4 linked regions of the Astyanax mexicanus genome follow. The protein of the gene in region 1 interacts with the protein of each later gene in a pairwise test. Links are inferred from orthologs where the notes say so. Each region holds a gene or a part of one and is shown in the gene's direction. Other genes may lie near its edges. The genes, in order: rint1, neuronal migration protein doublecortin, cwf19l2 and fam81b.

Region 1 (7,210 bases):
CTAATATTGTCTTAACTAAATTAAAATTGTAGTTCCAGTGCAAAAAAACAAAAATGCACGCACAAAAAACAGATGGACAGCACGAATAAAATATTTAATTGTAGTGCAGCATAACAATCAGTTAACTAATGTTGTTTGTTAACATTGTGCTAACCTTGAATCAGCATAGTGGTGCACAAGAGAGCTCCCTCCAGAAAGAGTACCATTGCCACTGGTCATGTTCATGGATTGGGAAAACAGATCAAAAGCTTATACCAGGCGCACACTTCATGACTTTTTTTAGTCGTTAGTCATAAAAGAACTGAGAGGCCATGCAGGAGGTGATGAAGAAGAAGAAGGCTGTTTTTATTTTATTTTATTATGTTTACTTTTAAGTTACTTTATTTCAGTCCTTAGTTAATTCAACCACAAAACAAACACACCTTTCTATTCATTGCTTTTTTTTTTTTAGAAGTTCTGCACCTTATATTCATGCACACATTCATGCACTTTGCCAAACGTTTTTTTTTTAATCCCCACAAATGGTGTTCAACCAAAAACAGTGGTTAGTTTAACAAGACTAGTGTTTGCTGGGTTGTGGGTTAGCAAACTGTTGCTATGATTGCTGCTGCTAAGCAACCAGTTCAAAACATTCACAAATGGGACAAAATACTGGTCACAATACTGACATAATGTGACCAGTACTGCTATTGAGCAGTGTGTTTCCTATTTACTGAGCCAGTATGGATGTTCAGTAGATACCCAGTTCCCACCACAGCCATTCAACAAATCACCCCCTTAGTCTGAGTACGAGTTACATAATGAGATCGATGATGCACCATGTTAGGGCTGGTTCTGTTGTGGAATTAAACAGAGGGAACAGCATGGTGGGACAGCTTATGGATGGCTCTACAGCTGTTGCTCCAGCCTAGGTTTACTTTGGCAAGCTCACTGTAAGCCAAACATCCTCCAGGACAGGTCCATCGTGCCATCCAAAGCAAGCACAGGCCTGCAAGATGGACACTGGGCACCCTTAAAGGTGTTAAGCAACCTAGTCTAATGAGCAGACAGATGGCAAAGAGGAACACACACAAAGGTGTGCAGAAAATACATACACTAGAGCATCAGCAAACAGAAGTAAAAACACCAGCCAAAAAGATTTCATTAGGCAATGGTAAACACACATTTTTAAAACATGTTATACTCTAGTAAACTCTAGTTAGTGGTGGAGAGCTAAATGAAGGGTGTTAGGTAACGTTATATGTTATGCATGCATCCTCTGGCCTTTTTGAATAGTACACTGGCTTTCTTAATGTTCATTGTGACCCCTGGTTTCTATTTACACTATAGCAAAGAAACAGATTTCTTAACAACTAAATTATACAAAAATGTCAGAGAATAAACATTACAAAATTACCTGAACAGTGTCTCCACTGTATATACTAGTGCAGTCAAAAAAATGTTATATCATTAAAGTTAGTTTATTTCAGTAATTTGGTTTAAAATGTGAAACATATATATTATTTAGATGTATTACACACAGAGTGATCTATTTTAAGTGTTTATTTTTTTATTGTTTGTTATTATGGATTACAGCCATAGTATCTGTCCAAGCTGCCTGAGGTCTAGGGTGAAGTTTCCACAAGCAGTGATGGTTTGGAAAACAAATAAAAGTTATGCTAAGTTACTTTAGCTAATGCTATTATCCTAGACCTGTACAGCCTGCATATTTCACCTGGAAAACATCCTGTTTGTGAAGAAGAAGTAAGCTGAATACACTGGTATAATACACTTTATTTAATTTAATTTAGCTGCCACAGAGTGTTAAAATTAACTTGAACCAGTTGTTTATCAATTCTCCCTGTCAGCATTCTATGTTGCTACAATATTGATGATTATCTGCTAAGGGAGAGTACGAAGAAAAAGAAGAAAAAGTTCTGATTTTTAAATGCCGGGTCCTAGACCACCTGAAAGCAATTTCAGATCTTCTGCTGGACCCCCCACAGTTTGTGTATAGAGCAAACAGGTCTGTCCATGACGCAATAAATTTGGCATTGCACTCCATGTTACAGCATCTCCACAGTTCAGGGATCTACGCTAGAGTTTTGTTTGTGGACAGCTCAGCTTTTAACACCATTGTGCCAGAGCATCTGCAGGTCAAGCAGTGCGAGCTGTCAGTGCCAAATCCCATCTGCCAATGGATCATGGATTTCCTGACCAACAGGAGGCAGCATATGGGTTAGGAAAACACGTTGGACATCTGGACTCTCTGTATTGGAGTACTACAAGCCTGTGCTTTCCCCCCTGCTCTTCAGGCTCTGCATCTCCAAAGATTCATCTGTGAAGAATCTGACGTTTGAGGACACCACCACTATGGTCAGCCTCATAACCAGCAGTAATGAGTCTGCCTACAGAGAGGAAGTTGAGCAGCTGGTGCCCTGGTGCGGCAGCAACCACCTGCTGCCGAAGACACAAAAGACTGTAGAGATGACTGTAGACCAGACTTTAGACCCACCCCCACAGACACCCATGGTGCTGAGGTTTCCACTCTGGAGTCACTCCAGTTTCTGGTCATCATTATATCCATCATATTCAGAAACTGCAGCAGTGGATGTTCTTCCTAAAGCAGCTGAAGTAATTAAACCTGCCTTCAGGCCATGCCAGTGAGGATCCACTTTTACACAGTGATCATCACATCCATCCTCACATCATTCGTTGTCTCCCTCACAAGAATGAATCAAACTCCTGTGGATAATCAGCACAGCAGATTGGATCACTGGATGTACCAACACTTCAGTGCGTATATAGCAGTATGGTCGCAAAGCGTGCTGGAAAGATTATATCTGACCCCTCTCACCCCAGCCATCATCCTTTCCATCCACTTCCCTCAAGAAGAAGACCCAAGACTACTTAGACATGCTAACATCTGTTTTTCCTTAGGTCATCTCAAATCATCTCATGTTAGCTTTGAGCTTTTTTAGCCTAATTTTCATATTATTCTGAAGTAACAACTGTATTCAGCCTTAAAAGACCTTTACTAGTGGTTTAAACTCTTTAAATTATTTAAACCATTAACAGAGCTGACAGAGTCACTTTTGTGCCTTAATTCCATGTGCTACCCTCCACAAGAAGCATCTAAAAACTGCCAGAGGACATGACATCACATATTTTTGATCAGATTTTCTATTATATTTTTTTTTATCAGAAGTAACAGAGTAACAGACCATAACACTGGAAATTACATAAAATATTTTTAACTGTAAAAATTATACATACATACAGTACCACCAGTCAAAAGTTTGAACACACCCTAATTTCAGTGGTTTTGATTATTTTTTTTTTTTAAATCTGCATTGTAGCTTAATACTGAAGTCTTTCAAACTGTGAAGAAACGTATGGAATTAATCATTAAACACAAAAAATGTTAAACATACCAGAATATGTTTTATATTTTAGAAACAGGCACCTGGAATGACTTTCAGTATTTCTTGACAGCTGTGCTGAGATAATCAAGAGATAATTACTTGAATTTCTAGCACTTTTAATGTGTTTGAGACCACCATCAGTTGTAAAGTTGTGAAGAGGTAGAGTTGATATACAGTAGTATACATACCCTATTTAAGTAAAACATAGTATTGCAAGAACTACTCAACTAATTAAAGAAAACAAATACTTTAAGAAATGAAGGTCAGTCAATCTGAATACATTTTAAAGAACACATTATCCTCAAGTGCAATCGCAAAGACCATAAAAAACGTCATGATGAAACTGGCTCTCATCAGGACCGCCCTAGGAAAGGAATATCTGAAGTTACCTGTTGCACAGGATAAATTAATCAGATTTTCAGCCTCAGAAACTGCAAATTATCATCACCCCGATAAACCCTACAGCACTTTATGCTTCCCTCTGCTGACAACTCATGGAGATGCAAATTTTATTTTCAAGCAGGACTTGGCACACTGCCGAAAGAACTAATTGGTTTTAGATAATAGTCTAACTTTCTGAGAAACTGATTTTTGAGTTTTCATTAGCTGTAAGTCATAATCATGAACAAAAAAACGCTTAAAATAAATCTATGTATTATATAATTTTCACAATTTTTTGTAAATTTGCATGATATTTAATTTTTTTGAAATGCACTAGTACTGTATGTAGCATGCTTGAGAAAATAAAGGGACTCTTATTCTATAATGTAAATGCTTTCCCGCGCTCTCTCCAGTAGAGGGCGCGCGCGAGAGCGTTTGCTGCTGATGACGTGGGCAGGCTGAGGGAGAAACATGGCGGCGGCCGCTGTGGAGCAGGATAATAACAGTATGAATGGTGAAGATAGCGGTGTGAATAAAAGCGAGCCCGGATCCAGCTGTGCTGAGGGGGTCGGGGGCTGTGTGGAGCAGCATGTGGCGGAGCTGCTGCAGAGGGAGATTGGAGGAGACCTGAAGTCTCTGAGGAAAGTTGGGGGGCTTCTGGAGAAACTGACAGCAGAGAACATGTTACTGGAGGAGCAGGTAAACCAGCCCTGCATCAGCTCTACTGACTGACCTCTCTCTTACCTCAACTGTTTAAAAAGCATTAAAGTGTGTATGTGTGTGTGTGTGTGTGTGTGTGTGTGTGTGTGTGTGTGTGTGTGTGTGTGTGAGAGAGAGAGAGAGAGTTCACTATATTCAGAAATACAGTACAGTCCACTGTGTGTTTGATTTATTTGGATATCTTAAACTGCCTAGACATGTGTGTGTGTGTGTGTGTTTGTGTGTGTGTGTGTGTGCAAATATTTTCATTTACAAATAAATCACTATCTAATAAAAGGTGCTATTTTTTTTTAGACAGATGGTTTTATATACTAAGCAGTGTGAGCAATGTGTTTTCATGATATGTCTAGTTCAACCTTATAGACATAACGTCTCCGCTGACTGGCTGACCTTTTTATTCCTGCAGGTGTTGACTGTATCCAGCTCAGTGCCTCTGCGTGTATCTGCTGCTCTGTCTGCAGCAGAGGAGGCCCGGACGAAGCTGGAGGTCCTGCTCCAGAAGGAGAGGCTCCTGTCCAACACGCTGCAGCAGCATCTGCAGGGAGCTCAGAGCTGGGCCGACAGCCTAGGACAAACACTTGGACAGCTGGACACGCTGGAAAGGCACATGAAGTACCTTCAGTGCTTGGCTCGCATTGAGGAGCTTAGGTGAGCAATACAGCAAAATTAACACTTGTAATTATTGATCCAGTCATGATTGATCAAGATAGTGGTGAGAGAAAAGGCTGTGGACCCAGTAAGTTTTTATCCATCCATTCATCAATCAAAAAACCTATCCACGTATGTATAGAGAGCATTCCTATGCATTCTGGAAAACCTGGAAATTTAGAAACAATAAAAAATGAGAAAATCTTACCTGTAAGTATTAGTAAGAGCCTAGAAAAGTCAAATTGTTGAATCACAGCAATAAAACCAATTCATGCTAAGAGCCTTTTGAATATTTTTACGTGCAATCCGTTAGAGACTTTCTAGAAATAGCCTCAAACATATATATCCCTGATAGATGGATCTTTGCATGGATAAAAGCCTGAATGGCTGCGTCTGTAAATGGATGAATGGATGGATTTATTGATCTATGGATGAATGGATGGATTCATAGATGGCTTGCATGAGGAAAAAAATGTCTTGCTTTTTTCTCCAAGAAGGGAGTAATGAGAGGGTGTGCTCTGCAGCCCAATATCCTTTTTATCTATTTATCCATCTATCATATCAATCATATATACTGTAGAGATGCATACATACATATCCAGGGAGTGTACATTCTAGACATTTACCTCTCTTTTTTGTGATTTGTGATTTGTCATGGCTGCTCTATGTTTTGAACAGTGACAGTATTCAGCAGTTCCTGATGACTAACAGTGTTTGGGAGGCAATTGGAGCTGTGGGCAATATGGCCACTCTAGACATGGGCCTTCAAGAGTCGGGCTGCTCACATCTACAAGCATTCCTTCGAGAAACATTGCACTTCTGGCACAAGATCCTGAAAGACAAGCTTGCAAGGTATTGCCAATGTTTTATATAATATTATAATTACATTCAGAGTTTTGAAGTTAGCAAATATATTCTTAATGTTTTTACTTTGTTAAACCCCATGTCAGGGACTAAACATGCCCTTTTAATGTCAATGTTATAAATTATAAAATCTGTTCCAAAATCTGAGAGCAGGCTGGCTAATGGTAATTGATTTGGGTTTGCTGTTATTGTTGGGATAATATTAAATAAAATTGACTGCTATTCAAAGAAATTGTTGATGAAATTTGTCATGTTTGTTTTTCTTAATCTCAGTGACTTTGAGGAGGTGCTGACACAGCTACACTGGCCGATAGTCTCTCCCCCGACCCAGTCCCTCTCTCCTCCAGCTAATGCACAGGAGCTCAACAGCCAGCTGGAGCTCCTGGTGTCTCAGCTCCTCTCCCTGCAGATGTCGTATCCTTTGTGTCACAGAGACACACATAAACGTACATCTACACTAACCATTGTGCTACGGTCAGCAGCTCACACACAGTTCTTCTTTTATTAGCAATGCAGCCCTTTGTTTTAGGCAGACAATAAGACAGTGTATTTTTTATCATGTGATAAATGGATCTTATTATGCAACAAAATTAGGCAACAAAATATTCACAACATAATATGCATGAAACTGAATGGAAAAATCTTTGCACTTGACTCCTGTCCCAGTGACGATCTTATATCTGAGAAAAAGGAATTGCCCACTCGTCCAGGCTTACCACAGACCCCACCACTCTCGCTGCCTATTCAGATCATGCTACTGCCCCTCAGCAAGAGGTTTAGGTATCATTTCACTGGGAACCGCCAGACCAACTCACTAAACAAGGTTAGATTGTGCACATCACTATTCTCCTACAAATTATGTAACAGCCAGTCTTATTTTTAAAAAATGGAAATTATATATATTTTTTTCTGAAGTGTAAACAATGTAAAACAATGCACAATTTCTTATAAAGACTTCAGTCCCCAGCAATCAAAGGTAATTACCAAAAACAGAGGTTTAATCTTTAATAATAATTAATATTACGGGGTGCCGAAGAAGAAGCGCAAGCGACTTCTTGCAAAATCTGGACACTGTATTATTAAACTGTACTAGAGTATTAATAAGCAGTAGGTTATAAATGTAGGTTACTGTTTACATATAAAAAAAGTAAATAAATCTACTTTTTGCTTTTAATATTTCAACATTATTCTTT
Region 2 (7,418 bases), on another chromosome or scaffold:
GTGTGTGTGTGTGTGTGTGTGAGATATATGCTGGGAATGCAGCAGGAGACAGCTGAGCATGACATAGCAGCTCACACACCCTCCACTAACACAGACCTCCACCACCATAGATAGATAGATAGATAGATAGATAGATAGATAGATAGATAGATAGATAGATAGATAGATAGATAGATAGACAGACAGACAGGCAATTAGACTGATAGACAGACAGACAGATAGACGATCAGACAGACAGATATGGACACCCATATTGACAGAAAAACAGACAGCTAGATGGATATATGGGAAGACAAACAATAGATAGACATTTAGACAGATATATTGACAAACAGACAGATAGACAGAAAGGCAAATAGGTGTAAAAACAAACAGGCAGATAACAGATATATAGACAGGTAGATAAATCAGACAAAGAGATAGACAATCAGACAGACAGAAATGGACACCCATATAGACGGAGGAACAGACAGATACATATACATATATATATATATGGGAAGACAAACAATAGATAGACAGACAGATGTATGGATAGATAGACAGATAGTTGGACAAACAGACAGACAGACACAATCAGACAGATAGATAAAAAAAGGCAGACAGATAGATAGAAAGACAGACAGACAGATGCACAAACAGACAGATAGATAGGCATTCAGACAGATACATTGACAAACAGACAATCAGACAGACAGATAGACAATCAGACAGACAGTTATGGACACCCATATAGATGGAGGAACAGACAGATACATATATATATATATATATGGGAAGACAAACAATAGATAGACAGACAAATATATGGACAGATAGATAGTTGGACAAACAGACACAATCAGACAGAAAGGCAGACAGATAGATAGAAAGACAGACAGATAGATGGACAAACAGACAGATAGATATACTGTCAGACAGATAGAAGGATGGATAGATGGGCTGGCAGAAATATAGACAAATATAGACAAGCAGACAAAAAGACAGATAGATAGATAGACCGACAGACAGATAGAGGGATGAACAGATGGGCAGGCAGAAATATAGATAGACAAGCAGACAGACAGGCAAATACATGGACAAAAAGACAGACAAATTAATAAATAGACAGACAGATGTATGGACAGATAGACAGATAGTTGGACAAACAGACAGACAGACACAATCAGACAGATAGATAGGCATTCAGACAAATACATTGACAAACAGATAGACAAAAAGGCAAATAGATGTAAAAACAAACAGGCAGATAACAGATATATAGATAGACAGACAGATGGACAGAGAGACAGACAATCAGACAGACAGATAGACAATCAGACAGACAGTTATGGACACCCATATAGATGGAGGAACAGACAGATACATATATATATATATATGGGAAGACAAACAATAGATAGACAGACAAATATATGGACAGATAGATAGTTGGACAAACAGACACACAGACAAAAAGACAGATAGATAGATAGACCGACAGACAGATAGAGGGATGAACAGATGGGCAGGCAGAAATATAGATAGACAAGCAGACAGACAGGCAAATACATGGACAAAAAGACAGACAAATTAATAAATAGACAGACAGACTTATGGACACACATATACACAGAAGACAAACAGACAGTAGACCAACCACCAGCTATAAGGATGTATAGATGGACAGACTAACAGACAGACAGACAGACAGATATCTCAGCAGTAATGTGGTGGTGCTGAGTGTGCACTAGGACACGCCCTGTAGGAGGATTAGGACAGTTGTGTGGATCTTCATCCATCAGGAATGTTCCTCTGGAGTTCCTCCTTCCTTCTGCCTGCTTTAAATAGCCGCAGAGCTTCTGAATATATCTACACTGATGGACGATAGATGGACAGACAGACAGACAGACAGACAGATAGATAGACCGACAGATATATGGACCCATATAGAAAGAGGAAAAGAGAGATAGATGGATATATGGGCAGACAAACAATAGATAGACAGACAGACATATAGATATATAGACAAGCAGATAGATGGACAAAAAGACAGACAGGTAGACGTATAGACAAAAAGATAGATAGACCAACAAACAGACAGAAGGATGGATAGATACCTGGAGTTATTAAGAGTCTAAATTATCTACACACATGTTCTTTATGGATCTTTACGGAACCGTTGGTTTTTAAGTCTAGAACCAGATATTATATTAGGTTCTCTGCATGTTCCACTTTAAAATAGCTTCACACTGCAGCTCTGAACTGCTGGTGCATGTTGGGAAAAAAAATCCAATAATGAAGCTCGGAGGAGAGTAGAACTCTGCTAAAACACAGCGGTAAAAACAAAGGATCACAACTTATAACAGCTGATGTCCATTCATACAGTTTTGCTGTTATTAAGAGTTTACATTATCTCAACATAAATTAGATCATTTAGATATTTAGATAAGTTTAAAGATCCACCATATGCTCATGTTTCGCCTTTGATCTTTGAGTGGAGAACGTCACTTTCTTCTAAAAAAAGAGCTACAATGTGTTTATTAGCGTGAAAAGATCAATCACTTAATGTATAGATGTGTACTTTACTTTGAAAATGTTCACCACAAGAGCTTTGAACTTATAGACCATACACGAACGAGACTGTCAATAAAGGCGGAGCTTTGTGTTTAAACCACAAAAAAGTGTTTAGCCAATCAGAGAGAGCCTATTCTTTACCTCACAGCCAGGTGATTATTACCTGCGGAGTATCGACCAGGTGATCAGTGGGAGAACATCTGAGACACCTTTATCAACTGATGAAGATCTGAGCGTGAGTTCACTACTATCAATGATGGTATTTGTTGTAGAATGATGGTGTTAAGTTGGAAAAGGTTGGTGTTGACGTATCTGGGGAGTTGTACCCCGGATGAGAGGTGGGGGTAGCCCACCTTTCATTTTCATTTCTACAACAGTGTTCAGTTTTTTTTTGTGAAGAATGATGGGGCTTAGTAAAAAATGGTGGTGTTTAGAGGAGAATGAAAGTGTTTGGTGTAGTTTATGATGGAGTTTAATGGAGAATGTTGGTGTTTAGTGAAGAATTATGGTGCCTAGTGGAGAATGATGGTGTTGAGCGGAGAATGGTGTTTGTTTAGTGGAGAATGATGGTGTTTAGTAGATAATGTTGGTGTTTGATTGGAGAATGTTGATGTTTAGTGGGGAATGATGTGTTTGGTGTGAAACGATGGTGTTTGGTGTAGAATAATGATGTTTAATGGAGAATGTTGTTGTTTAGAGGAGAATGATGGTGTTTGGTGTAGAATGATGGTGTTTAGTGGGGAATGATGGTGTTTAGTGGACAATGGCAGTGTTTAGTGGGGAATAAGCGTCTTTGAGTTTCCTGAAAAGCGCTATAAAAATACAATAAAATGTAATAATGTAATGATGTTGTTTAGTGGACAATGATGGTGTTTATTGGTAAAGATTTATGGAGTTTAGAGGATAATGTTGGTGTTTGGTGGAGAATGAAGGTGTTTAGTGCAGACTTATGGTGTTTGGATAGCACAACTGATCTTCTACCAAACCACCAATGAACCACTATTGCTTCACCACTGATTCACTAATGATCCTCTACTGCTTCATTACCGATTCACTATTGATCCTTTACTGATCTTTTATTGATTATTTGCTGACTGTCTAGTGATTCACTACCAATCCACTACAAATACATACAAGTGTCACTACTGTTCTACTACTGATTCACAAGTGATTCACTATGAATTCACTAATGAACACATGAACACCAACAATTTACCTCTTACCTTCTTCACTCTTTCGCGTTCTATCTCTCTTTATCTCTCACTGTCTCTCTCTTAATTTCTTTCTTTCTTTCTCTTACTATCCCTTTCTGTCTCACTCTCACTATCTCTTTCTCTCTTTGTATCACTATATCTCTCTCACTATTTCTCTCTCTCACTATCTCTCTCTCTCTCACTATTTCACTTTCTCTCTTTCTTTTTCTCTCTGTCCAGTCTATCTCTCTCTACTCAATCTCTCTGTTTCTCTGATGTCCTTATTGATAATAGATAGAAAAAAGTGAAAGAGAGAGAGAGAGAGACAGAGAGAGAGAGAGTGAGAGAGAGAGAGACAGAGTGAGAGAGACAGAGTGAGAGAGAGAGTGATAGAGAGAGAGAGATAGACAGAGAGGGGGGGTAGAGTCTGGTTTGAACACTGAATGGAAAATCTGCCCCCCCCCCCCTCTAAACTGTACACCTCAGTGTGGGTGACGTCATGCATGAACCTCGTAAACTCGGTTTGTCTACTCACTGACTGACCGTGTATGTGTGTGTGTGTGTGTGTGTGTGTGTGTGTGTGTGTGTGTGTGTGTGTGTGTGTGTGTGTGATCGGGCGGCGCTAGGACCACGCGGCTGTAACCGGCAGGCAGCACCGGCAGACAAAGGCACGGAGAGCAGCTCGCGCTCCTGCAGCATCCACACCCACCCTCACACACTCACACACACTCAGTCCACACACACACCCTCACACACACTCCGCGTGCACCAGCGCTGGGGTAAGTACCGCACCCACCCGGGGCACTTTACACTGGTTACAGTTACCTTACAGTTATACCGCACGTGCTGGAGTCTCAGAGTGAGTGTGTGTGTGTGGGAGTGTGTGGGAGAGAGAGAGTGTGTGGAGTGTTACCTGCTGTAGGTGCGTAACGGCTTTGATGCGGCGCGAGACACTCGGTGCGTGAGCAGGTGGGAGCAGTTCCAGCTAGAGATTGAAAAAAAAAAAAAAAACCTGTCGGTTAGTCGATTATTCGAGTATTCAGTAAATTGTCTATTAATCTTTTTTTTACATAAAAGTTATGAATTGTGCTGGTTTTATTGATGGCTAATATGTCTGTAACGTTAAAGTTTCCTTTTTAATCTGTTATAGTGTTTTATACCGCAAAGATCCGATTCGACTGTTATTAAATGACAGATTGCGTTTAAATCGTTAGTCATTAGATGTTAATCGCTACCGTCTCTTTTTTCCCTTTTTTGATGCATGGGGTGTGCGCGAGCGTGCACGCCTGTGTGTGTGCGCGCGCGCGCGTGCCAGCCCCTGCCTTAGAAATTGCTGTAGTGCAGCTCGCGCTGCCGCTAATGCTTTCTGTACAATGGAACGGTCAGCGCGTTTAGGGAATAACGGTCATAACGGTCAATTTTACGGTCTTTAACCCTCAGTAGCGGTCAATTCCGTAATTTTTTATCATAAAGTGTTTTATTTACTCAACTCTCACATATCAGTGTCAGTTTAGAGCTATATTTTCTTAAAAATGAGTATTTGGGTAAAATCTGCTAAAAGTGGGGTAACTAATACTGCTACTGATTTTTTTATATATAGGATTAGGGCCCCCTGGTTGAAGAAAACTGCTGTTATATACTTATAATGGGTACTTGATTTTTGGTACCCAATTGAACCCCAGTTTGATGGATATTTGATCCAATGGTTTGGAGGTTTGGAGATCACAAGCCATCAAACCAAACTGAACTGCTTGAATTTTTGCACCAGGAGTAAAGCAGCATAAAGTTATCCAAAAGCAGTGTGTAAGACTGGTGAAGGAGAACATGATGCCAAGATGCATGAAAAAACTATGATTAAAAACCAGGGTTATTCCACCAAATATTGATTTCTGAACTCTCAAAACTTTATGAATATGAACTTGTTTTCTTTGCATTATTTGGGGTACAGCAATGTTCATTTTACTCAAATATATACAAATATAAAATCAGAGAAATGGATTCAGAAACTGAAATGGTCTCTTTATTTTTTCCAGAACTGTATGGTGGTTAATAAATATATATATTCATGAATTTTAAGGTATAGAGGAGTGTTTGGTTGTTGGGGTATATATTTTCGCCTTATATATATATGAACATGTTGTGGCAGGTGTATATTTATTTGGACTTTTTGGTACCCAATTAAACCCAAATTTGATGGATATATGAACCAATGGTTTGATAGTTGGTGGAATGTTTAAGGTATATATTGTGCATGGGGCTTTGGGTAGGTATATTGTATATTGTAAGTACTTAGGCTTTTCAATGGCCCAATGGATGAATGGTTGTGAGGTGGCTGGTGTAGTTATTTAGGCTTTGTGGGACCTACAACAACCCCAATTTGAAGGATACATGGTTGGATACATGGTTTCTTGGGTGGTTGAGGTATACATGTATACCCTCCCTTCCATGCTTTATTATTTGATGTATGCATGAACATTTGGTTATTTGGGTTGGTTGTTTGGACATAATCATACCTTTATACGTTTCAAATCCACCCATATTTGATGTATAGATGAATATTTGGCTGTAGCTGGATGGTTAAGGTTTATACTTGGGTATATATTGTTTGGGGGTCCAAGTCCACCTTGATTTGATGTATATATAGATTGATTTGTGTTTGTGGGTAGTTGTTGTGTAAGTATTTTTTTAATTTAGACTTTTAGTTCATATTCATATTCTGCAACCAGGGTGGTGGCACGAGCTTAGGCACATGTGGTTTAGCATTATTGCTATATTATACCCAGCAGCCGGGGTACAACACTTGTTCTAGATGTTAGAACAGCTCAGCATTTGGGCCAGAATTAAGGCAATGCAACTCAGGATTGGCATGTGGTATTTGGCCAAGAAATAGCCATAAAAAGCATTTTTGCTATCAGGGTTTAAACGAGTAAAAGCCATTTAAATCTGATCTAAACCTTTAGCCAACTAGCTTCCATCTTCTTTGTTTGTAGTGATGTCAAAAATGAGAAACCTGGACTTGTAAAGACTAGAATTGCATCATCTTTAGGTTTTGTCCAGGTGGTTATGGGGTTACGTTTCGTAAATGCAGCTTTTCATACAAAAAAAATCTTTTGTTTGCAGAGGTTAAAGTAAAACTCTGATGTGTTTCAGATGTATGCTACGCTGAGTTAGCATGGACAATACAGTTTCCTGAGCTTAGCGCAGATCAGAGGACCTGGTGACTCAATACAGAAATATAATAGAGTTTTAATTCAATGGACAGATTCTTTTCTTTTGAAGTACGGGTTGGGTGGAGCACCGTGGTGTTTAGACTTTCAGAAGATACAGAAGATCACAAGATCATAGGAACATCACACGCCCCCTAAAACACACTGGTGTATGTGCGTGTTTTTATAATATGTAGTTTTTTAGTATTTTATTGTATGATAATACATTTTATCATAATATGTAATAATATATGTTTCTGAGTATGTTTATATATGGTATTGATAAGCATTTGTATTGTATTGCTATGCATTAGCTACGTGGCTGATAGGGTGTTACTTAGCAGTTTCTGTGATTCTGTGTCTCAATGGTGGTTTCGATGGAGTTGCTAAGGAAAATCAGATGGTTCGGTATCTCATGTAGTTGCTATGCAGTTGCCAAGTGGTTGCTATGGCCTTGCTCAGC
Region 3 (7,741 bases), on another chromosome or scaffold:
AATGAGATATGGCTGAAATAACAAGTGCAGATCTTTCAGACTTCAAATAATGCGAAGATAACAAGTTGAGAAATCAATATTTGGTGTAATAACCTTGGTTGTAATCTTGGCTTCTTCTCCTCCACCAGTCTTACACACTGCTCTTGGATAACTTTATGCCACTTCTGCTGCAAATATACAAGCAGTTCAGCTTGGTTTGATGGCTTGTGATTATCCATCTTCCTCTTGATTATATTTCAGATGTTTTCAATTTGGACAAATTAAAGAAACTCATCAGTTTTAAGTCGTCTCTTATATTTTTCCATGGCTTTAAATACATATAATATATATTATATATGCAATCTGTGATAAAATAAATACACTGATTTATTAACTTGTTTTTATAGTTGTCTTACCTGCTAGCGAGCTGAGTTGTTTAAAAGAGAAGTCCAGTGGAGCTCCGTTCATTTTGAACATCCAAACAATGTTAGCTAACAAACAAACTAAACCGGTATTTAAACGGTAACGTTATCTCTGCTGACTAACAACAGGCTAACATGCTAACCTAAAGTAAAACTTGTACAACTCATAACCAAACCGAAATAAAAAAAATAAACAGGCCAACAGGGTGTATTTCACCTCAGCTGGACTGTACTGGATTATAAAATATGATGCTCACAAAATGTTCACTCCTAAGTAATCAAATAATCACAAAAACTGAATTTACAACATTTTACAATAGATAGCTAACCTAGCTACTTTTTTAGCTTTGTAAAGACCAATCACATTACCAAACAGCTGGTTACCAAGGAGACCGCCGCCGGTGCATCACGGTAAATGTTGTTTTTTATAGTGGAGGAATTTGGACTTATTTCCCCGCTCTGTATTGGCTTAATGCTGTTCCTGAATAAAATACAATTTAGAATTTAGAATAATTTATCAAAGCAAACTAATAATAGGAAACGTTATAATAAAAACAAGAAATAAACTAATATAACAAAAACAATAATAATAATAATAATAATAATAATAATAATAATAATAATAACAACAATAATAATAATAATAATAATAATAATAATAATAATAATAATAATAATAATAATAATTATTATTATTATTATTATTATTATTATCATTATTATTATATTTAATAATAATAATTTATGGTTAATTATTTACGTTTATTACATTTTTACTGTTTTCTGTGCTAAATTAATTTACTTTATTCATCTGTTGTTGATTTCATTTCATTTGTATTACCTATTTTTTTATCTTATGTGTTTTGTGTCTTATTCTAGATTCAAGATTCAAGAGTCAAATAGTTTATAGTCATGTGCACAGTAAGAAACAAGTTTTCAAGTACAGTGAAATTCTTATTGTATGATATATATTATACTATAAAAACGCTGGGTCTTTTTTCTTTGACAATCTCTACTCTGTATTAGCTCGGCTACTCTTTTATCAAGTCCACCCTCAATGTACTCCAGTTAAAATAAAGGTTGATTGATTAAAATGTCCTAATTTAGGTCTGATGTCTTTAACACTGCCTTGAACAACTTACCCCTTTTACCCGCACTTTGACAACTATATAAAAGTGAAGAATTCAAGGTGGGCTCAGGGTTTAAGGTAAGAATTTAAAAGTGATTTAAATCTTCATACATACAGTGCATACCGCCTGCATTCAAACCTGCTGGTCACACAGGTGCAGCCTGGTTGTGTTAGTGTGCAGGTGAGTGTAGTATCTGTGTGCACCACAAGAGGGCGACACAGAACAGTGATTTTAGGTCTGTAGATCTTTTCTTCTCCAGATGTTTTCCAGCGTTGGTGGTATAGTGGTGAGCATAGCTGCCTTCCAAGCAGTTGACCCGGGTTCGATTCCCGGCCAACGCAGAACTTTTAAACTGTACTACAGAGCCTAAACCACCATTGAAGACCTCTGCATGTCTCTAAGCACAGTTGTGTGACTTCTCTTCATAATACCCCTTATGTGTAAACTGACCTGCTGCAACGTGGTGCTGATTTGTTACATTTTCTTTTCAACTTACTAAAATAACCGTAGTAAACATTACTAAATTAGATTATATAATGTATTAAAAGCAAAAGCAAATAGGCTTATGATAAAGTAAACTAAATGCTTGTTTTTGTTTGTTTGTAAATTCTATCTCTTTTCTCTCCGGTTCCACCCTACAGTACAGCACATTTAGGGACAGTTACCCAGACTAACCTTAGACCTACAAAGCATTTTGGATGGGGATTTTCCTCTAAAAGGAAAATATATTCTAGAATAGTCTATAAAAGTAGTTGTAAGGTTTTTTTTTGTTGTTGTTCCTCTTGTTTATTTTAAAAGTATTAGTATTTGTGAATTTCCAGTTTCTCTGCTAGGGATTAAGACTATTCTAGCACTAGATGGCATTTTAAATGAAGATTTTTTTATTAACTGAAAGAAAAATACAGTCTACAACTAGGCTTAGTGTTTAGGTCTTATCCATGAAAATATATATTTTTTGCTCTCTGTCTTTGCCCTGGGTTAACAGGACACAAATTCTCACAATTTGTTCTAGGAGTACTGAATATCCAGTATTATTTAAAGCCCGACTTTAAATAATCCAGATTACTTGCGCCTAAAGTCAAGTTTGTCTTATAACAAAAGAGTTGAGGGGCATTCCTATTGGCTGGTGTTCAACTATGGGCTTTAGAAATCTGTGTAACTGAGAAACTGAGTCAGATGCAGTGCAGTGTGAGTGTAGTATCTGCGTGCGCCGCTAGAGGGAGGCAGATCAGTATGTTTATTCAGGAGGTTAGTGAGGGAGTGTGGAATGCAGTGATTTCAGGTCTGTGGATCTTTTCTTCTCCAGGTGTAATCCAGCGTTGGTGGTATAGTGGTGAGCATAGCTGCCTTCCAAGCAGTTGACCCGGGTTCGATTCCCGGCCAACGCAGAACTTTTAAACTTATCTTAATAGCCTAAACCACAAAAAAACTCTGTATGTCTCTTAATACAGTTATCTGACCTCTCTTCACATAGACAGTGTATACACGGGTTCAATAAGAAAATGAAGATAATAAATAAACTGCCCTGCTGTCTCAAGATGTGTTTTTGTGAAAATGCTAATGGGGCAGTTTCCTTCCCAGGGATCAAGACTATTATTATACTACACAGCATTTAAAAAAATGAAAATTCTGTCTTTGCTATGGGTTCTCAATTTGCTTTAAGAAACAGAAGATATCCTTATATATATCCTAAAGCAGGATTGTCAGTTGTCCAGATAACTAAGTCTGTCTAAAAATAATAGAACTGAAAGGCATTTCTATTGGCCAGTGTTTAACTTTGGGCTTTAGATATCTGTGTAACTGAGAAAGTGTGCTTTGTGGTAAATCTGTCAGGTTCTGAGAGATATATGTAGTGCAATTGTACGGGACTGTGGTACCTGTGTGCGCCGCTAGAGGGAGACAGATCACAGTTTTTGTTTATTCAGTATGTTAGTGAAGAAGTGTGGAATGCAATAATTTCAGGTCTGTAGATCTTTTCTTCTCCAAATGTTTCCCAGCGTTGGTGGTATAGTGGTGAGCATAGCTGCCTTCCAAGCAGTTGACCCGGGTTCGATTCCCGGCCAACGCAAAACTTTTAAACTTTATTAAATAGCCTAAACCACTAGTAAAAAACATCTGCATGTCTCTAAACACAGTTATCTGACATCTCCTAATGATATCCCACATATACAGTATAAACGCAGGTACATGAGAAAGGGAAAGATGAATAAAATATGACCTGCTGCCACGTGGTTTTGTATTTGTTAATGCAGGACATTTATCCTTACAGTAACCATCAGGTTTCACTTCTCTTTCTAACAGTTTACAGCTGTGTTTCGGAGCAGTGTACATACTTGTAGTTTATTATTAATGTGTTGTAATTACTAGAACCTTTAATTATTATTTACTATTGTTTTATTGGCTTATACATTCAAAAGTTTCTCATTTAATGTTACATTGTACATTTCACATTGAAGATTTCATTAAAGTTATACAGGAACACATACAGAAATGTTCAGTGTTTTAGTAGAGTGAGGGAGTGTCACCTGGAATAGTTTTATCAGCGTCTTGGAGGAGTTCATGTAGGTGCTGAACGATAGTTGCTTCTTTTCCTTCACGATGTGAAGCTCCAGCTCATCCCAAATCACCATCTCAGTTGATCAGGTTTAGGTCAGGGGATTGTGGAGGACAAGAAAACTTTTTTACTGTTTAATACGTAATTCCATACGTGTTTCTTTATTGTTTTTATGTCTTTAATATTAATCTACAGTGTATAAAGTAAATTAAATAAAAAAAACTTTTGACTGGTACTGTATGTATCTCGATGTAATATGTAACTCCAATGCAGAAGTTGTCTACTTGCTAATCAATAAATATCATATGTTCAAAATAATAAAAGGAGTCACTCGCCAAAATGAAGTATAACAGAAATATAACAGAAGTTTTTTCAGTAAGAAAGGCAAATAAAAATCTTTTTGACATCAATAACATAAATAAAATGCAATGACTTTATTTGCAATTAGAACTTTCTTTCAAACATGACTTCTATTTAACCATAAACTACAGTTTATTTATTTAATTCAGGACTTTTATTATACAATTAGACTTTTATTATATTATGAGACTTTTATTTTACCTCTCGATCGCTCCCTTGAACACTCCGCCATTTCCCTCGTGCGGAAAATTTCCGCACTTTGTTTGGCTGAGACCTGTTCATGAGGCTTCTGGGTATTGTAGTTGCAACTATAGGTACCTGAGTCGTGTGCTGTTTATATCAACGCAGAATTTTAAATATATAGAGAATTATTTATGGAAATATAGATAATTATTGATACATATTGGCACTTTAGAGTTTCCGAATCTTATATTAGAGTGTAAACGTGTCGGCAGCGCCGCTAAAAAAGAAAATAAAACATAACGGTCGACGTGAGGACTACAGCAAGCTGAACATTACGACATCTCAAACCGCTTTACGACTGTTTTCGTCGGCGTGATGGCGACGTACGGAGGACGATTTGAAAGCAAGACGAACATCGAGGAGAGAAAATCAGAAAAGAGGAAACAGAGAGAGAATGTTCTCCACCAGGTAAACTCACCTGGACACACCTGAGCACACCTTACACTGAGCTACAGCTGATCCCCCAGCAGATAGAACTGATCCTCCACCAAGTGACTAAAGGTAGAGCTGATCCTTCACTAGGTTACTAAAACTAGAGCTGATCCTCCACCAGGTAACTAAAACTAGAGCTGGTCCTCCACTAGGTGACTAAAGCTAGAGCTGATTCTCCACCAGGTGACTAAAGCTACTCTTCCAGCAGGTGACTGAAACTGATCCTCCACCAGGTAACTAAAGCTAGAGCTAATTCTCCACCAGGTGACTAAAGCTAGAGCTGATCCTCCACCAAGTGACTAAAGCTAGAGCTAATTCTCCACCAGGTGACTAAAACTAGGGCTGATCTTTCACCCGGTGACTAAAGCTACAGCTGATCCTCCACCAGGTAACTAAAACTAGGGCTGGTCCTCCATCCGGTGACTAAAGCTAGAGCTGATCCGCCAGCAGGTGACTAAAGCTAGAGCTAATCCTCCACCAGGTAACTACAACTAGAGCTGATCTTTCACCAGGTGACTAAAGAAGCTAATATAAGTATAGTAGATTTAGCACACAAAGCAAACAGAACCATAAATACACCTGCAGAACCAAAGAATGAGATGTTCTTCAGTTCTCTCTGTCCCTCTCTTCCCCCCAGGCAAAGAAGAAGTATGAAGATGAGGAGCGGAGGGAGGCAGAGAGGAAGGCCCGAGGTGAACACACCTGGATGCTGCCAGAAATTGACCAGCGTCTGCAGGAGATGGGCCAGGTAAGTGGGTGTGGTTAATCACCTCTGAAGTCTTAATTAATCATCTGTATTCGGACTTGTTTACCATTCAGATTTGTTGTGTGTTTTGTATTCAGGAACATTCTCTGAAGAAGAAGAAAAAGGAGAAATCCAAAAAGAAGAAGAAGGAAAAGAAAAAGAAAATGAAGAAAGAAAAAAGCAAACAGCAGGAGGAGGACGGCTCGTCCGACAACTCGGCGGTTTGTTTCTTTACATGTTAATCCCGTCCCCAGCCTGTGTGTGTGTATCTTGTCTCTTTGGTGTGTATGGATGTGTGTGTGTTATCTTTTTTTTTCACTGGTGTGTGTTTATTTGTATCTTGTGTCCTTGCTGTGTGTGTGTCTATTTTGTGTCCTTGGTGTGTGTGTGTGTTTCTGTGTGTCTTCTCCTTTGGTGAGTGTGTGTTTATTTTGTCTCCTTGGTGTGTTTGTATGTTTATCTTGTCTCATTGATGTGTGTTTGTGTAAGTGTGTCTGTGTATCTCATCTTCTTGGTGTGTGTGTGTATGTGTATCTTCTGTGTGTATGAGTGTGTAACTTGTCAGTTTGTGTGTGTATGTTTATCTTGTTGCTTGGTGAGTGTGTGCATGTGTGTATCTTTTGTATCGTTTGGTGAGTGTGTGTGTGTATTCTCTTGGTGTTACAGGACTCCGATGAATGGGTGGAAGCTGTGCCACAGTCAGGGGGCGTGGAAAAAGCTTGGAAGGTTGCAGAACAGGCCACACCCACTGCCAGTTCAACCAGTAATGACCAAGTAAGAAACACGCAACAGCATGCAAACACCCAGTGCAAATATACCAGTACTCACTCACTCACTCACTTACTCACACTCTCTCTCAGTCTCTCTCTCTCTCTCTCTCTCTCTCTCATATACACACACTCTAACACACGCACATGCACCTGTGCTAGTTTTGACAGTTTTTGTTTGTTGAACAGAGAGATGAGTGGATGACATTTGATTTTTTGGCCATGAAGACGACATCTGTTGCCGAGCGACGAGCACAAAAGGAGGCAGAGAAAGAGGCGGAGCGAGAGAAAGAACGCTCCATCGAACAGGTGTGTGTGTGTGTGTGTGTTTGTGACAGACATACAAAAGTGTGTGGAAATGCTCACTTGCAAGCTGTAATCCTGAAAGCATATGCTATTAAAAACAACTACAACTGTGTAATTCTGCCCATTCAGGATACAGTAGTTTAGCTCTGGTCTTTTAAAAAAGTAATTATAGTATGTTTGGAGCTAAGCCTGTTTGTTCTATTAATGTTTGTATATGTATAAAGTGTGTTGTTTTAACTAAATAATGTTAACAGTGAATTTAGATGAATATATTGGTAGTAAAAGTGTGTGTTTGTGTGTGTCTCCCTCCATTTATCAGGCCGGTCTCCACAGGCTGGAACTGAACCCTTACTGGAAAGATGGAGGGAGTGGACTGCCTCCAGAGGAGACTGCTGGTACTGTGGTTAAAAAAGGTAACCATAATAAAGCAAATAAAACATAAAAATGATATTGAGCATCCCCGCTGAAAGGTCAGTATATCTTCTGTATAAAACATGATTTTTGGAATCAACAAAAAACGACACTCGAAACAGTTAGGCTTTGTATTTCTGACTAATACAAATATAACCAGCATATCGCTGCCTTGCCTAATCTAAACTTCAGTCCAATCTGGCCAAATCTTTATGCCTCAACTTAACATGCCTCATCACCCGCCGTTCCACCAACACGAGTGAGTGGTGAACATTCTTAAGGTCGACCTGACCTAATATGAATACTGGTCTCAGCTTGTTCAGTTAGCCTGTTCTAATCTCAAAACAGGAGCCATAGTTTAATAGTTAACCCTCTTGAAACCCACAAATATC
Region 4 (7,668 bases), on another chromosome or scaffold:
GGCTTGACATGATAAGGCTCATTTAAATCACTCTATTTGCATATCAGTGAGCTTTTAAAGAATGCAAGGCACTTTTCCCAAAACACAGGCAGCAACAATTACTTTTCTTGGTTAACTTTCTCTAAAATCAGAAACCAGGTTTTTACATGTGCGACAAGTGATGTCTTACATAAAGGACCAGTGTGTGGAACTTTTTCTAAAGAAACTTTCCAAAACCAGACACTATAGAATCCGGGATTTAAGTTTGCCATAGTCGGCATGTTACAAGAATGACCAACATGGAGTACTTTCTCCAAAACCAGACATTATAAAAAAACAGGGGTGGCATTTGTCACAGGTGGAATGTTACACTAATGACCAACCTGGAGAGGTTTCTAGAAAAACAAACAACAAAAAACATGTTTTTCACAGGTGACATGTTACAGGAATGACAAACATGGAGCACCTTCTAAAAAAAAAAAAAAAACAAGCAACAGAAACCGGGTTTGAAATTTGTCACAGGTGACATGTTACAGGAATGACCAACATGCAGCACTTTCTATAAAAAAAAAACAAGAACAAGGTCTAAAGAAAACAAAGGTTTAAAGTTTCTAGAAAAAACTAGAAGGAATGACCAACATGGAGCACTTTCTTTAAAACCACACACTATATAATCCAGGTTTGATGTCTGTTACAGGTTACAGGAATGACCAGCATGGAGCACTTTATAGAAAAACAAGCAACAGAAACCATGTTTGAAGTTTGTCACAGGTGACAGGTTACAAGAATGACCAACATGGGGCACTTTCTTCAAAACCAGACACTATAGAAACAATGGATGAAGTTTTTTTTACAGGTGACATGTTACAGGAATGACCAACACAGAGCACTTTCTAGAAAAACAAGCACAGAAACCAGGTTTAAAAATTTTAGAACAAAAATCTAGAAGCTTGGAGCACTTTCTTTAAAACCCAACACTAGAAACCAGGTTTGAAGTTTGTCACAGGTGACAGATTACAAGAATGACCTACATGGGGCACTTTCTTCAAAACCAGACACTATAGAAACAGTGCGTGAAGTTTGTCACAGGTGACATGTTACAGGAATGACCAACATGGAGCACCTTCTAGAAAAACAAGCAACAGAAACCAAATTTGAAATTTCTAGAAAAACAAATCTAGAAGCTCGGAGCACTTTTTTTAAAACCCAACACTAGAAACCAGGTTTGAAGTTTGTCACAAGTGACATGTTACAGTAATGACCAGCATTAAGTACTTTCTTTAAAAAAACAGGCAACATAAACCAGGTAGGTTATACTTTACAGGAATTATCGATATGTGCAATTGTAGAAATATAACTGAAGTGTGTGCTAAAGTGTTTAAAACTGTAAAAATGGGTAGTTAACTTTCTCGAAACCAGCCTAAAATCCAACAGGAACAAGACAACCTTCAACTAAAGTCATAGTGGGACCCCTTCACCCCACACACACGCTCTCTCACAAACACACACACACTCTCTCTCTCTTACCGAGTCACTGGCGTTCTTGGCCAGCTCATCCTCACTGGAGGCTGCGGACTCCACCACCAGCTTCTCGAAGCACGCCGAGCCCAGGGACGAGCTCTTCTGCTGCTGGGACAGAGCGAGGTGGGCTACGGTGAGCTGCGGACTGCCGTGAGCCGAGACGGGCAGCTGGGGCTTGGTAACCGCGGCTCTTCCTGCTCCTCCTCCGGCGGCTCCGGGCGTTCCGGACGCGGCGGGGCTGAGCTCGGCTTTAGCGGTCAGAGACGGCGAGGGAGAGGCGCTGAGGTTGGGCTGGGAGGACGAGAAGACCCGGTCCAGCGCCTGTTTCTTTTTCCGCTTGAACATCCACAGACCTGTCTCCTTCTTACTGCCTCCTCCACCACCACCTCCTCCTCCTCCAGCCCCTCCACCGTCCACCCCGCGCCTCTCCGAGCCCAGCTTGGGGCTCAAAAACGGCTTAGTTTTCTCCTGGAAATTCCTCCACATCCTCCGCTGGTAGGACGGCGTGTCGTGTCCTTTAGCGCTGCCGCTGCTGCTGCTCTCATCCCGGGGTTTCTCATCCATCCTGCCCGAGCAGCAACCCGCCAGTCTGCTGCGGCTGAGGAGAGTGACACACACACACTCACACACTGCCACACACACACACTCACTCACAGTGTGTGTAAGAGAGTGAGAGAGAGTGAGAAAGGATGGAGTCTATATCCCAGTCCTAAAAAAATAATAAAAAACTCACTAATAATAAACCAACCAAGGTCCTACAAGGTCTTTCAGCTTCTATTAACTACCACACCCCCCTAATATCCTCCTCCCACTGACAGATAGATAGAGATAGACAGACAGGCAGGACTCTCCAGATTCTCTCTCTCTCACACACACACACACACACACACAATCACACTGTGGACCAGAGCTAAACACGCCTGCAGCAGCCTCCAGCACTAACTCCAGCACACACACACACACACATTCACTCACACACTCCCCCTCTTCATCCTTCTAGTCCTCCTCTTCTCCATCCTCCTCCCCATTATCATCACCCTGCTCATTCCAACCCCCGCTGGACCACCTCACACTTCTATTGACCACAAGACTTAAAGTTTAAGGGCACAATAAAAGCACAGTGAGGCTCCCTCTTCTGGACAGCCAATGCCATTCATGATTACAGGATGAAAATTCTTTCAAGGAATGTTGTTGATTATTGTTGTTAGTTATAAGAGAAGTGTGTTTGTGTGTGTATGTGTGTCAAACACACCAGATGTTGTTTATGTGTTTCTCAGAAACAGAGGATATATGAAATATCATGTGCATTTGATCTGTATTTAGAAGAGTCATATGCCAACTGACAGTCCTGGTGTTCGAGAGTCTTGGTCATGTGCATAGATTGGCAGTGTGTGGTCTTGGTCTCGGGGGATTAGGTAGGATAAAAGTTAAACAGCTAGTGAAGTTTTGCTCTATTTCAGCAATCACTAGGAGTATGCATATTTGGAAAAGGCCCTGTTTTCTTTATCCATAAATTGAGAAAACATGAAATGTTGTAACACCCTGTATGAACTGTATGTCACTATGTTTGGAAAATTTCCTGGAATATTTTGTTTCCTTATTGTTTCTTATATTGTTTATGGAAACAAAATATATAGTAACATGCACTTCACGTCCATTTCTTAAAGTAATCTATATTCAGATGAGAAGTTCTTGCCATAATCTGGATTAGAACATTACTCAAATAGGGCTATTCAATGTATACCAACTCTACCTCTACACAACTTTACAGCTGATGCACTCGCAAACACATTAAGAGGACAAGAAATTCAGCAGCTGTTAACTGAAAGCCAGTCCAGGTGACTCTATCCCTCATAATCCATTAAAGATGTGCAAAACAGAACATCGTTTTTGTTTACTAAATGATTTATGTTGTTTAAGGTGTGTCCAAACTTTTGACTGGTACTGTGCACATGTTTGTTTTTTTTTGTTTGTTTGTTTTTTACATATTATTATTACTACATACAGATACACACGATACACACATGCGGCTATAACTGATATGTTTACAAGTACTGTCAAGGCTTTAGACTGAATTGATTTCAAAGTTGTACCTCTTGGTGTGGGATTAACACTAAATGACCACTCAATTGATCCAACTGAAGAGTCAAATCCAGGGCAATCCACTCAAACGGTAAAACAAGTCTCTGAGAGACTTGCGTCAGTGATTATGATCAGACCAGAAATCCTGGGTCCAGTAAATTAAACAGAGAAAAATAAGTCCCTTTTGGGGTAAAGTGCTATAATGTTCGGAAATGATGACATTTGCACTTAGGACTAGAAAGCCTTTTGCCACTTATGGACAAAGCTGGTGTAGTTTAATAGGTAATGTGGTGACACACAATGTCTCTGTTGGGAGAAAAGTGCTGGTAAACAATAGGATTATTCATACTTAAGTTTATCAGGACACAAAGACATTGGTTTTACTTGATTTGTATGTGTATAAAAGACTGTATTTTACTTATGTGCAGGCTACATTTAATGTTTTGCTGTGTTAAATAGGCCCTTACAACAAATACCGTGTATATGGTATATCAACAATTTCTCCCCTTTTCCTTAACTATTGTAAGTTACATTATTTTGTTATTTTTCCATGAGTGTTTTCATAAATCTCTAAATTAAGCACATTTTATTTTGTAGTGTTAAGGGGAAAAGTTCAAGTTTAAAAAAAAAAGGATATCTGATTTCTCCCAATAGACAAGCTTAAACATCTACTTTAGCATTAAGACATTCTCACATTCTAATATTTATCAGAAATGCTTTTTATTCTGTGTTAGAATCCACTAGTACCAACTAGCCTAATCTAATAAACTCTTTCCCTCTCACACTTTAAGGTCTACTTTCCCCAAACACAAATTAGGCCTAGTTTTACACTAAGCTGCAGTGACAAAAGAGAATTATTACTGGGCATCCTCTCTAGTCTAGACTAGAATCTTCATCTGGGTCTGGGAATCCGGCCCTCAGGCTGATTGGAAGGTGATTTACTGTAAGTGTACGAAGCAGTAAGCTCAAATTAAATTCCACGGTTCAGATGGAAATGTGTAAAACATTGTCCAGTTGTCAAGCCCACAGACACGCCCCTCCAGAGCACTTAGTGCTGTATCTAAGAGATCGATCCAAACAACAGACTTACAATTCAGCCAGCAGATGACAGGAGGCTGATCTTGAAGTGAGTACTGGATCAGAATCTAAAACATTTTAGGCATTTAAATGAGCTTCTGTTTATTGGCTGACAATGAAAAATCTTGTTTTCACCTAAAGCCTGTTGCTTTTATTGGCCTTCTTCTCATCAGACCAGCATTTCGCTCAAGATACAAAATTTTCTTTCCAGGAAAGGCTGTTTGATTAATATGCAACATTAAGGTAATTAAGCTGTATTAAGTTTTCTATACCTATATGAACCCTTTATAAAACTTATATTTACATACATAAAGCGCCGAAACAAATAGTGGACCATTTCAAAGTTTTTCTGATTTTGCTATTTATAGATATATGTTTGAGTAAAATGAATATTGTTGCTTTATTCTATAAACTACTAAAGTTTCTACCTAAATCCAAATAAAAAGTCTTATACAGGATTTATTTGCAGAAAATGATAAACGAAGAAAATTACAATAAAGATGCAGAGCTATCAAAAGTCAAATAATGCAAAGAAAACAAGTTTATATTCATTTTAAAACAACAACAATATCAATGTTTTGATTCAGGAAGACTTCAGAAATATTTGTTGGAATAATCTGATTTAATAACGAATTTCATGCTTTTCGTTGATCTTATGCCAGACACAAAAATTTAAGCAGTTCAGCTTTGTTTAATTGGCTTGTAACCATTCATCATCAGTGGGGTTCAGGTCTGGAGATTGGGCTGAGCATGACAGGGTCTTCTTTTCGCACGATATAGCTTTAACTTACAGATTTGTGTCTTGCACGGTGATCTGTGTTCACATTCAGTGATTTCTGGAAGTATTCCTGAGCCCCTGCAGTGATTTCCAGAATCATGCCTGTTTTTAATGCAGTACCACCTGAGGGCCCGAAGATCACCAGCATCCAATATTGACAGTCTGTTTTTTTCCTTTGCACACAGGGTTTCTCCAGATACTCTGAAGCTTTTAATGATATAATGTACTGTAGATGGTGGCATAATGAATGTCCACAAGATCTGTTGCTCTTTTTATTTCGAGTCATGAGTTATTTGCAGATTGCTCCTACTGCAGCTGTTTTTTTTTTATTAATACCACTTTTTTGCCCTGTACCAACATTTTTTTTTCATTATTTTTTTTGCAATGAAATAAATGTCAAAGTAAAAAATTTAAGCACTGAATATTTATTTTATTTGCATTTTACATACCATCCCAAATAATTTAAGGTTGTTAAAAACATGCATTACAAGGTCATCAGTGTGATCACTCCATATAACCCTTGTTGGCACCTTTATTTTTAAAACCGAGAATCGCACCTCCAATACCAGCATGTAGGGAAAGACCCTGCTGATGTTGTCTGCTGTTAATTAAACTTCCCAATCAAGGTGTTTAGCTCTAAATGTTATGACACTGACCCCTGCATAAGCACTGACCTTTCCTTTATTTGATTCTGACATTCTGACACTTGAACTAACCCCTTTACCTGAAGCGCTCGTTTGTGTGACACAGCACACAGGGGCAGCTAATCAATGGCCGATGTGGTTTGAGGAGGTCCTCAGGCTTTAGCCACAAAATTGAGCAGTTTTTTTTTTTTTTTAACAGAAGCACTGCTCATGTTCGGTGCCTCTTCAGCTTTGAACATGTTGCTCATTTTGGGTGATTTCCAAGACTCACGAACGTGGCCTACGACTATTACAAGAGCAGCTCAATGTTCTGCATTGTAGAAAAGTACAGTACCTCTCCCACAACTAATCTCCAGCCTAATGTTACTAACATTACATAAGCTATAGATAGGTAAAACACACTATAGTCATAGATCTTAATAAAGTCTCAAATTTATTTGTTTGGAGACAATAATTTCAAAGAACAAAAAAGACTCTTTTTATCTGACTTGCGAGCATCAGGGAGCCGTTATTGATATGCGGTAGATTCCCGCAACTTTCGGTAGACTTGGTACATCTGCAAAATGCTGTGTTTAAGAAGATATTTAATTCGAATTAACAGTATACTGTAAATAAATTATCCATTGTTGAATCAACTCTTTTAGTGTTAAATTAACCCAGTGGGTGTCAAAATCTAACACTGTTAGTGTTGGTTTAAAACTGGTAAATGTACTGTGTTCTTTCAGGTTCTTACAATGTAACCAACATTCTAACCCGTAGGTTATAAGTAAGGATAATAAAAGATATTTTATCCTTTTATAAAGGTCAGTAAACTTACTCAGAGATGACCACACAAGAGCGAACCTTGACCTCCTTGATGCAGCAGGCCTTCCAGATCAAAGAGGAAATGGTCAGCAGCCTCCATGCCACCCAAGGATCTGTGCTGATGGAGGCGTCTGCAAGGAAACTTCTAGAGAATCACATTCAGACCATCACACACATTGTCAAACAGCTCAGCAAGGACATTCAGGTCAGTGGAACTTGAGTTAAATGGTGAAAAATAGTTTCTGATCTCTTACCACCTTGTTAACTTGCATCATACAGTGCCTGGCCAAAAAAAATGTAAAAGTAAATGATCTGGGGTTGTTGCTGCAGTTGGTCTGCAGGTCTAGGTTCAGCAACAGTATGTGCTGAAAGAATGAAGTCAGCTGACTGAATACCTGAATATACTGAATATAGATCATGCTATTCTATCAATGGATTAACAAGCATATTCCAAGATAACAATGCCAGGATTCATGGGGCTGGAATTGTGAAAGAGTGGTTCATCAAGGAGCATGAGATCATTATTTTCACACATGGATGGACAGAACTTAACCTCATTGAGAATCTTTGGGATGTGCTGGAGAAGACTTTGTGCAGTGGTCAGACTCTACCACCATTAATGCTGCAAGATCTTGGTTAAAAAATAATGCACCACTGGATTAAAATAAATTTTGCGGCACTGCAGAAGCTTATTGAAACAGTGAATGCATGCTGCAATAATCAAAGCTAAAGGTTTTTTCTGGTAACCACAATTTTTTTTGGTTACCAGATAAAAAGGACTCT

Evidence for each region.
Region 2: the proteins of rint1 (region 1) and neuronal migration protein doublecortin interact in binary tests that used the Homo sapiens proteins (3 or more experiments, as listed by UniProt). The two-hybrid records come from large-scale screens. The link is inferred for Astyanax mexicanus from reciprocal best matches to the Homo sapiens genes RINT1 and DCX.
Region 3: the proteins of rint1 (region 1) and cwf19l2 interact in binary tests that used the Homo sapiens proteins (3 or more experiments, as listed by UniProt). The two-hybrid records come from large-scale screens. The link is inferred for Astyanax mexicanus from reciprocal best matches to the Homo sapiens genes RINT1 and CWF19L2.
Region 4: the proteins of rint1 (region 1) and fam81b interact in binary tests that used the Homo sapiens proteins (3 or more experiments, as listed by UniProt). The two-hybrid records come from large-scale screens. The link is inferred for Astyanax mexicanus from reciprocal best matches to the Homo sapiens genes RINT1 and FAM81B.

What each region holds. Positions count from the first base shown.
Region 1 is NC_064409.1:11,969,147-11,976,356, reverse strand, and holds the start of rint1 (RAD50-interacting protein 1), read left to right. Parts: upstream 1-4,209; 5' UTR 4,210-4,256; coding exon 4,257-4,484; intron 4,485-4,911; coding exon 4,912-5,153; intron 5,154-5,831; coding exon 5,832-6,005; intron 6,006-6,290; coding exon 6,291-6,431; intron 6,432-6,683; coding exon 6,684-6,840; intron 6,841-7,210. UniProt on the Homo sapiens protein: Involved in regulation of membrane traffic between the Golgi and the endoplasmic reticulum (ER); the function is proposed to depend on its association in the NRZ complex which is believed to play a role in SNARE assembly at the ER.
Region 2 is NC_064408.1:1,766,170-1,773,587, forward strand, and holds the start of neuronal migration protein doublecortin, read left to right. Parts: upstream 1-4,402; 5' UTR 4,403-4,528; intron 4,529-7,418. UniProt on the Homo sapiens protein: Microtubule-associated protein required for initial steps of neuronal dispersion and cortex lamination during cerebral cortex development. May act by competing with the putative neuronal protein kinase DCLK1 in binding to a target protein.
Region 3 is NC_064425.1:12,510,943-12,518,683, reverse strand, and holds the start of cwf19l2 (CWF19-like protein 2), read left to right. Parts: upstream 1-4,734; 5' UTR 4,735-5,003; coding exon 5,004-5,096; intron 5,097-5,757; coding exon 5,758-5,868; intron 5,869-5,963; coding exon 5,964-6,086; intron 6,087-6,531; coding exon 6,532-6,639; intron 6,640-6,821; coding exon 6,822-6,941; intron 6,942-7,257; coding exon 7,258-7,351; intron 7,352-7,741. Other genes in the region: lrrc51 (leucine rich repeat containing 51), read right to left, coding at 396-456.
Region 4 is NC_064429.1:25,519,778-25,527,445, reverse strand, and holds the start of fam81b (protein FAM81B), read left to right. Parts: upstream 1-4,661; 5' UTR 4,662-4,708; intron 4,709-6,884; 5' UTR 6,885-6,904; coding exon 6,905-7,090; intron 7,091-7,668. Other genes in the region: mctp1a (multiple C2 and transmembrane domain-containing protein 1), read right to left, coding at 1,507-2,064.